Linked DNA regions of Drosophila melanogaster. The protein of the gene in region 1 purifies or fractionates together with the protein of each later gene. This does not show direct contact. Each region holds a gene or a part of one and is shown on either strand. Other genes may lie near its edges.

Region 1 (5,615 bases):
TGCCCAGCGGGAGATCGAGGAACGCAAGCGGGCCCTGAGTAATCTAAGAGACAAGGATCCGCTGCTGGCGTCAGTTCCATCGATCGGAATGCCAGTTGCCTTAGCCACTCAAGCGCTGGCGAAGAAGCCCACGCCCGAGGACTCGGAGAAGGCCAGGAAGATTGCCGAGTTGCAGGCACAGATCAGGGCCAAGCTTACTGGCAATTTGGCTAGTTTGATTCAGCCCACTGCGGTAGCGGCCGCCGCTGCAGCTGCTGCTCAAGCGCAGGAGCGACCCAAACCCCTGATTCTGGACGATGAAGGACGCACTGTGGACAAGAGCGGACGTACCATTAATATTCCCACGGTGACACCTACATTGAAAGCCAACATACGCGCCAAGAAACGGGAGGTGTTCCAACGCCAAACGGGTTTGGGTGAACGGAGTGAATCGGGCACTTCGGCCCAGGAAGAAGCTATTAAGTACTTTGACGACCGCATAGCCCTGAAGCCCACTGTTAGAACCAAGAGGACGTTGAGATTCCACGAGCCCGGAAAGTTCCAGCAGCTGGCCGAACGAATGCGCATGAAAAGCCAGCTGGAGCGACTACAGAATGAGATTTCGCAAATAGCCCGGAAAACGGGCATCTCGTCGGCCACCAAACTGGCATTGATTGCCCCCAAGCAGGACATGCCGGACGATGTGCCTGCCATGGAGTGGTGGGACTCAGTTATACTGACCCAGGATCTGGAGACGGTAGACGACGCAAGCGGTAAGATAAGCATACGCCAAACAGCCATAACCAACCTTATAGAGCATCCCACACAAATGAAGCCGCCAAGTAAGTTGAAAGCTAGAACATGTCCCACAAGCAACTAACCACCTACTCCTTCAGATGAGCCCTTGAAACCAGTGTATCTGCCGGTTTTCCTCACAAAGAAAGAGCGCAAAAAGCTTCGTCGCCAGAACCGTCGCGAGGCCTGGAAGGAGGAGCAGGAGAAGATCCGACTGGGTTTGGTGGCCCCACCAGAGCCGAAACTGCGCATATCCAACCTGATGCGTGTGCTTGGCTCGGAGGCCGTACAAGATCCGACCAAAATGGAGCAGCATGTGCGCGACCAGATGGCCAAGCGGCAGAAGGCGCACGAAGATGCCAACAATGCGCGCAAGCTGACCAGCGAGCAGAAGAGCGAAAAGAAGCAGCGCAAGCTGAGGGAAGACACCAGCTGCGGTGTACATGTCAGCGTCTATCGCATACGAGATCTGCAGGACAACCAGAGCAAGAAATTCAAGGTGGAGACCAATGCCAAGCAGCTGCAGATGACCGGCAGCGTGGTGTTGTTCCGGGATTGCTGTGTGGTTGTCGTGGAGGGTGGGCCCAAGCAGCAGAAAAAGTATCGCAGGCTCATGCTAACGCGCATTAAGTGGGAGGAGGACAACGCCAAGGGCAATGACGGCCAGGACGTGCCGAACTCATGCGTACTCGTCTGGGAGGGGACTAGTCAGCGACGGCACTTTGGCGAGATCAAGTTTAAGATCTTTCCAATGGAAAAAATGGCCCGTGAGTTTTTTCAGAAGCACCAGGTCGAACACTACTGGGATCTGGCCTACTCCGGAGCCGTGCTTGAGGCCTCCACGGATCAGCAGTAGATAAAAGGCATTTTAAGAATTGCTAGATACACTACAGTTCTACAAATTCACTTTCGGAAAGATACAAGTCTGAATTAAAGTTTTGAAGCGCGCTACGCATTTGATGTTATTATTTTCGAAGCTATTCGGAACTTTGGAAGTGCAAAAATAACGAATAAAAGTTTTATCTGGACTCTAAATATTTGTAGTAATCATTTTTTAAGTGGTGGTTGTTGTTCAAATAGATCTGGGATTTATATTAGTATGATTTATTCTCAACCAACTACTGCCTCTTTACATAGGGATCCTCCCGGATGTTCGATTGTATAAACTCCTCTGGTCCTTGCTTCTTTAGCTTCTCGATTATTTCCTCCAAACGCTGATCTTCTAGAGCGGTCTCGGCTTTCTCGCGTAGATCTAGTTCGTGCTGCTCCTTCACCCGCTTCGTGAGCACGCCTTTGACTAGTTCTCTCAGGGACTTGTTAATGGCCAGGGTGTAATCCAGCAGCTTTACATAGGTGGCTGGACTGAGATATCCGCACTGCTGGCACTGGGCGATCTGTTCAAAGGTATCCATGCTGGCGGTAATGATCAGGCCGTGCTCCTGGGCGGATGATGGGCTGGTTGTGCTATCGGTGCTGCTGTTGCGATGCTTCCAGAGCAGCTCCTCAACCTTGGCACTGGGATTCAGGAAGACGTGATCCCGATAGATACAAGCTGTGGAGGCCGTAATTAAGTCGTAAGTGGAAATGCCGCACTCCACCAAAGCGACTCCGCAGCAATTGATGGCAGTGCTGAGCAGGCAGCCGTCATCGTCGAGAATAAGCACCCGTATGTCCAGCTGAAAGTTAAGGAACTCCGTGCGGCACACCACCGGCTCCATGGCCTTGGTCAGCATGCTGCTCAGGTGGCGTTCCCGTTCCGGCACCGAATCTAGATCCCCTGTGCTGAAGGCCGCAAAATTCACATAGCAATTCAGAACACCCATGTTCATTCTGCGTGCGCTGGCGCGGATTAGCTCCTTTGGCGGGGCCACAATGGCCAGAACCTTGGTGTTACCATACTCCATGTAGGCGGAACCTCTCACTGTGGTCAACACACCGGCGCGGATGACTGTAAGTCACAAGAGGTATGAGAAATTGAAATACAAATAAGGATGTGCACTTCTAACAGGTGTTTCTGGGTGCCAGTTGTGTTGGCTCCCTCGACGGTTTGTCTAGACTCTCAAAGAAATCCTCGCTTTCCTGCGGAGTTGTGTACGGCTCTTCCTCAATGGAGGCTCCATCGAGTAGGGTGTTCTTCGTCTGGTTCACCGCTAGCATATTTATATTATATCTTTTGATTGAATATAAAAATAAACAAACTGAGTTCACATGTGGTCTAAAGACTTTTAAGTTTTCGATTAAAATACAAATCTGGTATTTTTGTATATTTCGATATTTTATACCGATTCTGTATCGTTTCGTGGGTTATCGTATTTGAATGAAAACCTTCAAAGAACCTTAATAATAAGAACCTAAAATAAGTCTTCTTATTAGTGCTAATTGTGCTAATTATTTATAAAGTCTAAATAATGTTTTGATTCCTTCTGATAATTGATAACTTAGTAGTATTTTCTTTGTTACTAAGAGAAAAAAGAGCTTAAATATAATCGCAGAAAAATCGATTGCCGAAGTGTAAAACAACGCTTAAGATAACGCTAATCCACTCGGTACAGACTGAAGAGATTTCTGGGAATATGGCCGACAAGAAGCACTGCCATGGATGGCCTTGCATCAGGCCTGGAATAGTGTGTCGCGGAATAGAATACTGATGGTAGGATATATGCCCGCGTTATAGATTTTACTTTTGAATTTCAGTGAAGAGTTGCGAGGCTAGCTTTAGTATTATCTTAAAAGAAAATTCAAGACAAGTAAAAGCCATGCGGAATAGCCATTATTTCGGAGTTACCCATTCATAGTTTGAAACCCATATCTCTAATATTATATACACCTGACGACTGATTCCTTTTTTTGCAGGACCAAAAGTTCTGCCATTGCTGCTGATATGAAAGTCAAGAGAGAAAAAAATTAGAACCACAATACCTCGGATCAAGAGGATTTCTCAAATTCACAGCTTTTGGGGTCCGATGACGGAGACAGTTTTGTAGGAGATGCCGAGAATTCATCTAATGAATCAGTGTCAGTGAAATAATGTTTTTCCTAAACTCACGAAGATATTACGCAGGATGAATGTTGGAACTAGAGAGATCCATTAACATCCTAACCAACCATCAACCAATTTCTGAAGAAATCAGATTAGATCAGTTAATTTCAAGAGACCCATTTTTGCATATTGGGACTCGCTACTTCACCAAATACTTCCGCAGCAAAAGCAGACAAGAGTTTTTTGGCCAGAAAATAACGCATTGTGTCATAAGTAGCCCAACATGTTTGAAAATATAAACGATCTCCGTTGATATCAAGGAATTACAGCTAATACAACTGCAAAGGCCGGAAGTTAAATGGATATTTAAAATATCTGCATATCACAACATTTTTAAATATATACACATACACAAATATAGTTAGCTTTTTCTTTCACTTTCTAAACCTTTCAATTTTGATTGGCAAGGCCCCTAAAAATCGATAAGGTGAAAGTCACTGCCATCACTATTTGAACGTTACCAGCTCGTGGTAACGGTAGCTGATTATTCTGGTATTTTAAACAGATTAGCGCGGCATAGCCTGGCGTTCGCCGCGCGGTCACACTGCAAAAAGCGCTGTGTAATTCTGCTGTTTCAACAACGAAAAAGAAGGAACAAAGCCGCATAAACCGCATTACAATCGAAGAAAACGTAGTGCCAATTAAATCCCTTAAGTCCGACAAGCTAGGAAAGAAATCATGACGGGCGAGACCAAGCTGGAGAAGAAGCCGCTGAAGCCGGCGGCATCCGAAGGCGATGCCAAGGATCCGAAGGCCAAGAAGGATGAAAAGAAGGACGGCAAGGACAAGGAGCAGCAGCCGGAGCTCTCCGACGAGGACCAGCAGCTGCAGGAGGAGCTGGAGCTGCTGGTGCAGCACTTGCAGGAGCCGGATGCCAAGCTCTACCAGCCGACGCTGGAGAGTATGGCCAAATTGATCAGAGCCTCCACGACGTCGATGACCTCGGTGCCCAAGCCTTTGAAGTTCATGCGCCCGCACTACGAAACCATGAAGACGGTGTACAAGCACATGCCCAATGAGCAGGCTCGCCAGTTGTGCGCCGACATCATCTCAGTGCTCTCGATGACCATGGGCAGCGGCAAGGATTGCCTGGCCTACCGATTCCTCTGCGATCGCAAGCAGCGCATCGGGGACTGGGGCCATGAGTATGTGCGTCATTTGTCTGGCGAAATTTCGGCCCACTATCACGATACAACGGGAGACTTTCGTGTACAGCTCATCGAACTGGTCAAGCAGATCATCCCGTACAATATGGAGCACAATGCCGAGGCTGATGCCTGCGATCTGCTGATCGAAATCGATCACTTGCACCTGCTGAGCGACTTTGTGGACGAGTCGGCCTATCCCCGCGTCTGTCTCTATCTGCAGTCCTGCTATCCGTATGTTCCCGACCCGGACAACACCATTATCCTGGAAACCGCGCTCCAGCTGTCGCGCAAGTTCAACCAGTACACACAGGCCATGCGACTGGCGTTGATGCTCAACGATATGGACAAGATCGGTGAGATCTTCAAGGAGCCCAAGGAGCCGGCCATGCAGAAGCAGCTGGCCTTTATGCTGGCCCGCCAACAGATTTGCCTGGAGCTGGATGAATTGGTGCCGGACTACGATGATCTCATGGAGATCATGTCGAATGCTAATCTGAACAAGCATTTCCTCAATCTGGCTCGCGAACTGGACATCATGGAGCCCAAAACGCCTGAGGACATTTACAAGTCGCATTTGGACAACTCGCGCTCCCGCTTTGCATCCATCCAGGTAGACTCTGCCAAGCAAAATCTGGCCGCTAGCTTTGTAAATG
Region 2 (7,207 bases), on another chromosome or scaffold:
TGTGCCCATATAGACGTTTCCAACGTGAGCGGACGCATAATCAGTCAGAATTTTAATTCCCTTGCCCAAATACTCGGCACGATTGCTCACGTAGCAGATTTTTCGCTCGGCATTAACTTCTAGGACGCGGCACTTCAACGACTGACCCACATCGTAGCGGACATTGGGTGCCAGATAGAACTGTTCCAGTATTCCGTTGACCTTGCCGATCCTCACCGACCAGCCCTTGATCTTGTCATCCTTCTTGAATATTTTCGCTGTGACCAGATCGCCGGCATTAATATCCTCCAGGCAGAACAGCTTTTCGTTGACCACGTTGGGATCATCGGAGCAGTAGTACAAGGATTCGATGACATCGTATCCTAGGATGCGAACCTTATGCTTCGTTTTTCTTCCGTATTTGGACAATACTTCGTCCTTGTCATAATTTCCCTTGAAATTGCCTCTGATTGAACCGTATGAGATAATGCCCTTTAGTTTCTTATTAAGAAGCAGTACCACGCCACCGCTGCCCAAGCGCAGAACCTTGGCTTTTTCCACCACGGAACCCACCTTTATGGGCTCTACCTCCTGCTCTTCCTCATCCTGATCTTTTGCTACTGCAGCTCCAGTTTTGATATCCAGATTAAGAGTTAAGTACACTAGTTTGGTTAGGGGCATCACGTAGAGTACCCTGGCATTGTAATCCTCATTCAGCTCGTAGGCATCCAAAGTATCCAAAGCGTTAGCTAGATGATGTTCGTTGACGTAGGCACTAAAGGATTCATTCATGATGCTGCCTTTGAGGCCATCCTTCAGATGCTTGGCCACCTTAAACTTTACAATGCTGCCTGGCAGAATGTAGTCGAGATTCGTCTCGTTTTGACTCTTGATGCGCAGCTGGTCCTGCTCCACCTGGACACAGGTGCAGGTGCTCTGGTGGGTGTCGTGATGAACGGTTTTGACTTTTAGGAAAGCCAACTGCCCCACGTGTAGCTTCTGAGCTGGCTTCTCGCATGGCACGAATGCCTGAAGTCCTTGTACTCCCGACTCGATGACATAGCCGTGCTCCAGAGCCTCCGCCACGGCGCCAGAGAAGATGAAACCCTTCTTAATGCTCTTGTGATGCAGATTACCGTGCACATCGGCCGGCTTGAGGGAAAGGAGCAGGCTAACCCGACCGGTGTCCAGCTTTTCTGTTTTGATGGCCTTGCCGTAGACGATGCGGCCCAACTGGAAGAGCTCGGTAAGGTCGTGGTACTCGCTGGTGTCTCCGGACATGGCCGCCTTGGCCACACGGGTGTAGGCGTCGGATATATCCGCCACCAAGGTGCGGGCGAACATCCGACCGGGCAAAGCGATCTGCAGTGCGGTGGCTGTCAACTCCTTGACCACTCCCATGACCAGCATGTCCTCCTGCAGCGTGTCCATATTGAGCGTTTCCGCGGAGAAGGCCTCCAGTTGGCCATTTTGTTCCTCGGTTTCGTAGCTCAGAAGGTTCTCTTTTACTTTCGGCGCCTTCTTCACCTTCTTCTGCGAGGCACCGAAAACCTGTGGGACAGAAAAGTATGTACAAAGATCTCGGATATTTCGCTGGCTAAACTCACGATATTCAGGCTCACGTCGTCGGTTTTGACTTCGCTGTGGATTGTCCCGCCTCGGGGAAAGCTTTTCTCGTTCGGCACCATCCGGGAGCTGTGTAATTTAGCGTTTTAAATAACAAAATTTGAGCAACGTGCGTTCTACACGTGCTAAGCGCCGATATAGAAAATCAGTTCAATAAATGGTACTAAATTATACCTTAAGATACGGGGCAGTCCGTAGACTCAAACCACTGTGACCATTGCGGCTGCAGTGTGAACAGGCCTTAGGCAGATAATACCGCAGTCGAATCATGCACGGGCCTCCCTATTCCGGCACACATGTGAAGGTGTAACAATTCGAACGCGGTTCAACAAAATGCAAACTTTACGCGAATTTACGCGTAAAACCAAGCGCGGCAACATTCTGAAGATTGTACGGGAGCACTATCTGCGCGACGACATCGGCTGCGGCTCCGAGCTGTGCCGGGAGTGTTTCCAAAACGAGGTATACCAGCTCACCTCGCAGCACGCGAATAAGAGCACCCTCTTCAAATTCCCGCACTATCTCGTTTTGGACACAAATGTGGTTCTGGACCAGATCGACGTGCTGGAGGAGGATGTTTTGCGCAACGTAGTCGTTCTGACCACCGTGCTCAACGAGGTGAAGCACAGGAGCTCCGCCATTTACAAGCGATTCAATGAGATCGTCCACGACCGCACCAGGAACTTCTATGTGTTCGTCAACGAGCACCACAAGTGGGTTAATGGATTTTCTTGGGAAACCTTTATAATATAGTGCTTCTTCTAGGGAAACCTATGCTGATCGCGAACCAGATGAGACCGCCAATGATCGCAATGATCGGGCCATTCGTCTGGCCACCAAGTGGTACGATGATCACCTGCAGGCCTCGCAATCCTCTAAAGAGTTCGAGCGCAGTGGCAAAGCTGCTACGCGAGTTGTTCTGCTCACAGATGATGCTGCCAATCGTGCTAAGGCCGAAGCAGAAGGTATTCTGGTGACCACAGCAGCGGAGTACGTGAAATCTCTCGAGGATTTTCCACTTCTGATGGATAAGCTGTCGCACAAAACATTCGACAGCGAGAAGAATGGTCTGCCCCAGTACCCGCCGCATCTCAGCATGAAGGAGCTGCTGGAAGGACTGCGCCAAAATAAGCTACTACAGGGCACTTTTCAGGCATCCAGGGAAAACTACTTGGAGGGCACCGTCAATGTAGAGAAATTCGAAAAGGGGGTAAGTTAAAACGCTAAATATCTTCCCTGGCATACGCTTCACAATACGATTTCTGTTTAATAGATCCTTATCCAAGGACGCGAGTCTCTTAATCGGGCCGTGGATGGCGACCTGGTGGCCGTGGAGCTTTTGCCCGAGGCGGAGTGGTCAGCACCCAGTGAAATTGTACTGGAGGAGAAGAATGTCTATGCCGATGAAGTGCCCAGCGAGGAAAGGGCCAAGGATGAAAATGAGATGTTGAATCAGGTGCGTGCCGCTGCCTTATCCGCAGAGCGCACGCCCACAGGGCGAATTGTCGGTATTGTGCGACGGAAATGGCGACAGTATTGCGGCATCCTGCAGCCTAGCTTAATAGAGGATACAAATCGGCACATCTTTGTGCCCGCCGACCGTAAGATTCCGCGCATCCGTATCGAAACGCGACAGGCAGCAATGCTGCAGAACCAGCGCATCATCGTAACGATTGACACATGGCCGCGCAACTCGCGCTACCCACATGGACATTTTGTGCGCTCCCTGGGACCGCTCGGAGACATGGCCACCGAGAACGAGGTTATCCTGCTGGAGCACGACGTCCCGCACTGCAAGTTCTCGGACGAAGTGCTTAGCTTCTTGCCGAAAATGCCCTGGACAATTACTGACGAGGACTATTCCAAGCGTGTGGATCTGAGGGATCTGTACATTTGCTCTGTGGATCCCCCGGGCTGCACGGATATCGATGATGCTTTGCACTGCAAGGAACTACCGAACGGCAATCTGGAAGTGGGCGTTCACATAGCCGACGTAAGTCACTTTATTCGTCCAGGAAACGCACTGGACATGGAGGCAGCGGCCAGGGGAACCACCGTGTACTTGGTGGGCAAACGAATCGACATGGTACCCGAGTTACTCAGCTCAAATCTCTGCTCATTGGTTGGCGGTGTTGAGCGATTCGCCTTCTCCTGCGTGTGGGAAGTGGACAATGAAGCAAATGTGTTAAGCAAACGCTTCCACAAGAGCGTCATCAAATCGAAGCGTGCCATGACCTACGAGGAAGCGCAGAATATCATCGACGATGCCACGCAACAGAATGAAATAGCCAAGTCCCTGAGAAATCTTAATCGGTTGGCCAAAATACTGAAAAAGCGACGAATGGATAATGGGTAAGATTATATTAACACCTCGTAATCAAGTGAACTAAGGCATCCATAATTTACAGAGCCCTTGTCCTTGCCTCCCCGGAGATCCGCTTCCAGGTGGACAGCGAGACACACGAACCACTCGAGGTGGAGGTGAAGCAGATGCGCGAGACGAATTCCATGGTGGAGGAGTTCATGTTGCTGGCCAACATCACGGTGGCCGAGCATATCGCAACGGAGTTCTCCGAGTGCGCTGTTCTGCGTCGCCATCCTCGGCCACCGCCTACCAATTTCGATCCGCTGGTAAAGTCTGCGCGCTACCAGGGCTTCCAGGTGGACATCAATTCGGGACTGGAGCTGTCGCATTCACTGGACAAGTGTGTCAAGGCGGATAATCCGTACTTTAACACAATGATCCGCATCCTCACCACACGCTGTATGATGCAGGCAGTGTACTTCATCAGCGGCAGTCTGCAGAAGGAGGAGTTCTTCCACTACGGTCTGGCTGCTCCCATCTACACGCACTTTACGTCGCCCATTCGTCGTTACTCCGACATTATGGTACATCGCCTGCTGGCCGCCTCAATCGGCGCGGATAGCACCTATGCCCAGCTATTGGACCGAAAGTCAAATGAGGAGCTGTGTCATAATCTTAACTACCGCCACAAAATGGCTCAGTACGCTGGTCGCGCATCAGTGGCCCTCAACACGCATCTCTTTTTCCGCGGCAAGGAGGAGGATGAGGAAGGGTGAGTCGAAGAAACCACTAGTGGGCAACATTCTTTTCAATTATTACCCATCCCTAGATATGTGCTATTTGTGCGCAAGAATGCTCTGCAAGTGCTAATCCCCAAGTATGGCCTGGAAGGCACTTTGTATCTAAAGTCGGACAAGGATGGCAAGGACGGTGTGGAGCGCGTCAAGAGCGAGATTGTCTTCACCTTCAACGAAGAGGATCATACACAGCGTTGCGGTGACGTGGTGTTCCACTCCTTTGATCCAGTCACGGTTCGTCTTAGCCTGGATTCCAGCAATGTGCAGCACGAGAAGCTGATCTTCCGGCTGGTCAAGCCGTACATCAAGGGCTTCAGCGTGGAAACGACCACCGAAGGAACTGATAGCCAAGCGGTTTCTGCGGCACCTCCATCGAAAAAGACAAAGAAGGATAAGAAAAAGAAGTAATTCTTTGGATCTTTGCTTATGTGGAACTAGACTACGCTGAAGATGTGTAACTACAATCATTTCGTATAAATAAAATGTAAGGTTTTTAAATTCCGCTCCGTTTCGTAAACCTTTTCCACCGTTCCGGCTCTGCCGATCTCGGAGAGTTTCGAAAGCATACCTTTGATCGGGTGTTTTGTTTAAGGTTTTGGTTTCCAACTTGCGTTCTACATTCTCCAGACCCATTGCAAAGTTTCGACTACAGTGCGACGGTTGTGCTGAGCTCGTTTGATCCAAAAAATTCAAAAAGAATATATATAATAAATACATATATACATTAACTTGACTTGAATATATACAAGAACGGAAGTTATACAAAGTTACAATGGAACCCGGTCCTAGTGCAGTGAACTACGAAGGCAGTAAGTCGAAAAAGGTTTCGAAATTCATATGAAAAGGCTAAAAAATTTAATCAATGAGTAATCGCGTGATTTTTGCGGAACATATATTTATATCGGTACACATATTTTAATACGCATATTGAAAACATCAGTTAAAATAAACAACTTTTAGAACATCAAATAAAGTGCTTGGAAAACTAATATGCCAACTTTCGTTGTGATCTAAATGAATTCTATAGATTTTCGAATTTTCCAAAAACTATCTAAGTGGAGTCCAACTTTTTACAATATTCTTGGATTCTTGCAGTGCGATGTAGATAGATAGATAATTTATGCACAAGAGTTCAAGGTGATAAATATTGTGTTTTAAACCACTGCTCGCCAATTAAAATAATGAACTTTCGATGCGACTTTGAAGTGATTAATTAGTGTTTAGTTGTGCGCCCAAACTGTCGGCACTAAATATTAATGAATTCGATTAGCTTATTCAACAAGGAGGCTTTTAGGTCCAATATCCATCGCCAATCACGTGTGGATTATGCTCGGCGTCTGGGTGAGCCGCACACCCGACGCATATGTGCAGTACATGGGTGCCAGGTTGGGTATATAGAAATCAGTTGAGTGACCGCGACATTTGGAAAATTTAAAATTCAATGTGCCTGGTGTGTGTAAGGTGGTATGGAGTGGAAGGTTTGTAATTTAGTTTGATAGCCTAATTAAAAGCAGCGATTAACCCAATAGAGGAAACAATGAACCCGCCCATCTAATGGTCACCTGCTGCTATACCTTTTCCGCAGGTGAATCTGTATGCGGCATGCCGGTGGAGGCTCACGATCCTCTCTACTTGAAGGCCTATCGCCAGAGTGTTCAGAATCCGGCTGCATTTTGGGAGGAGCAGGGTAACCTGCTCGACTGGGATCGGCCATGGGAGAAGGTACTGGACAACAGTAATCCGCCATTCACCAAGTGGTATGTGGGTGGCTACCTGAATGCCTGCTACAATTCCATTGATCGCCACATACTGGCCGGCCGCGGCTCCAATGTGGCCCTAATCCATGACAGCCCCTTGACTGGCACACTGCGTCGGGTTACCTATCAGGAGCTGTATGACCAGATCGTTCTGCTGGCAGGCGGCCTGGCCAAATTGGGCGTGGTCAAAGGTGATCGCGTCGTGATCTACATGCCCCTCATCCCGGAGACCATCATTGCCATGCTGGCAATTGTGCGTCTGGGTGCGATTCACTCCGTGGTCTTCGGTGGCTTCGCTGCCCGCGAACTCTGCTCGCGCATCGAACATGTGGAACCAAAACTGGTGATCGCCTCCAATGTGGGCGTGGAGCCGGGCAAAGTGGTGCCCTACCTGGACATCCTTCATTCAGCTATTAGCATGTCGCGATGGCGACCACCGCAGCGTAACATAATCTTTCGGCGTGATAATGTTTCGCCAGATACCACCAAACTGGATCCTCTGACGGATGTGCTCTGGTCGGATATTCTTAAGATGGCGGAGGGCGAGCGGCCCATAGCCTGTGTTCCCATCGAGGCCAACGATCCTTTGTATATCCTCTATACCTCTGGAACGACGGATAAGCCCAAGGGAGTACTTCGCACCATCGGAGGTCACTTGGTTGCTCTGGTGTACACGCTGAGAACTCTCTATGGCATCAATCCTGGCCACACCTGGTGGGCGGCCTCAGATATGGGCTGGGTGG

Evidence for each region.
Region 2: the proteins of Mtr3 (region 1) and Dis3 purify together in Drosophila melanogaster (affinity purification with western blotting; 2 studies listed by BioGRID, with this or other methods). This does not show direct contact.

The regions. Positions count from the first base shown.
Region 1 is NT_037436.4:19,910,699-19,916,313, forward strand, and holds Mtr3 (Mtr3), read right to left. Parts: upstream 3,018-5,615; 5' UTR 2,932-3,017; coding exon 2,781-2,931; intron 2,723-2,780; coding exon 1,893-2,722; 3' UTR 1,707-1,892; downstream 1-1,706. Other genes in the region: Prp3 (precursor RNA processing 3), read left to right, coding at 1-821, 876-1,630; Rpn1 (regulatory particle non-ATPase 1), read left to right, coding at 4,493-5,615.
Region 2 is NT_033777.3:24,331,555-24,338,761, forward strand, and holds Dis3 (Dis3), read left to right. Parts: upstream 1-1,878; 5' UTR 1,879-1,938; coding exon 1,939-2,318; intron 2,319-2,370; coding exon 2,371-2,815; intron 2,816-2,878; coding exon 2,879-3,957; intron 3,958-4,013; coding exon 4,014-4,682; intron 4,683-4,739; coding exon 4,740-5,115; 3' UTR 5,116-5,479; coding exon of another isoform or gene 5,480-5,516; 3' UTR 5,517-5,694; downstream 5,695-7,207. Other genes in the region: Rrp5 (ribosomal RNA processing 5), read right to left, coding at 1-1,530, 1,587-1,667; CG6432 (uncharacterized protein), read left to right, coding at 5,480-5,516, 6,293-7,207.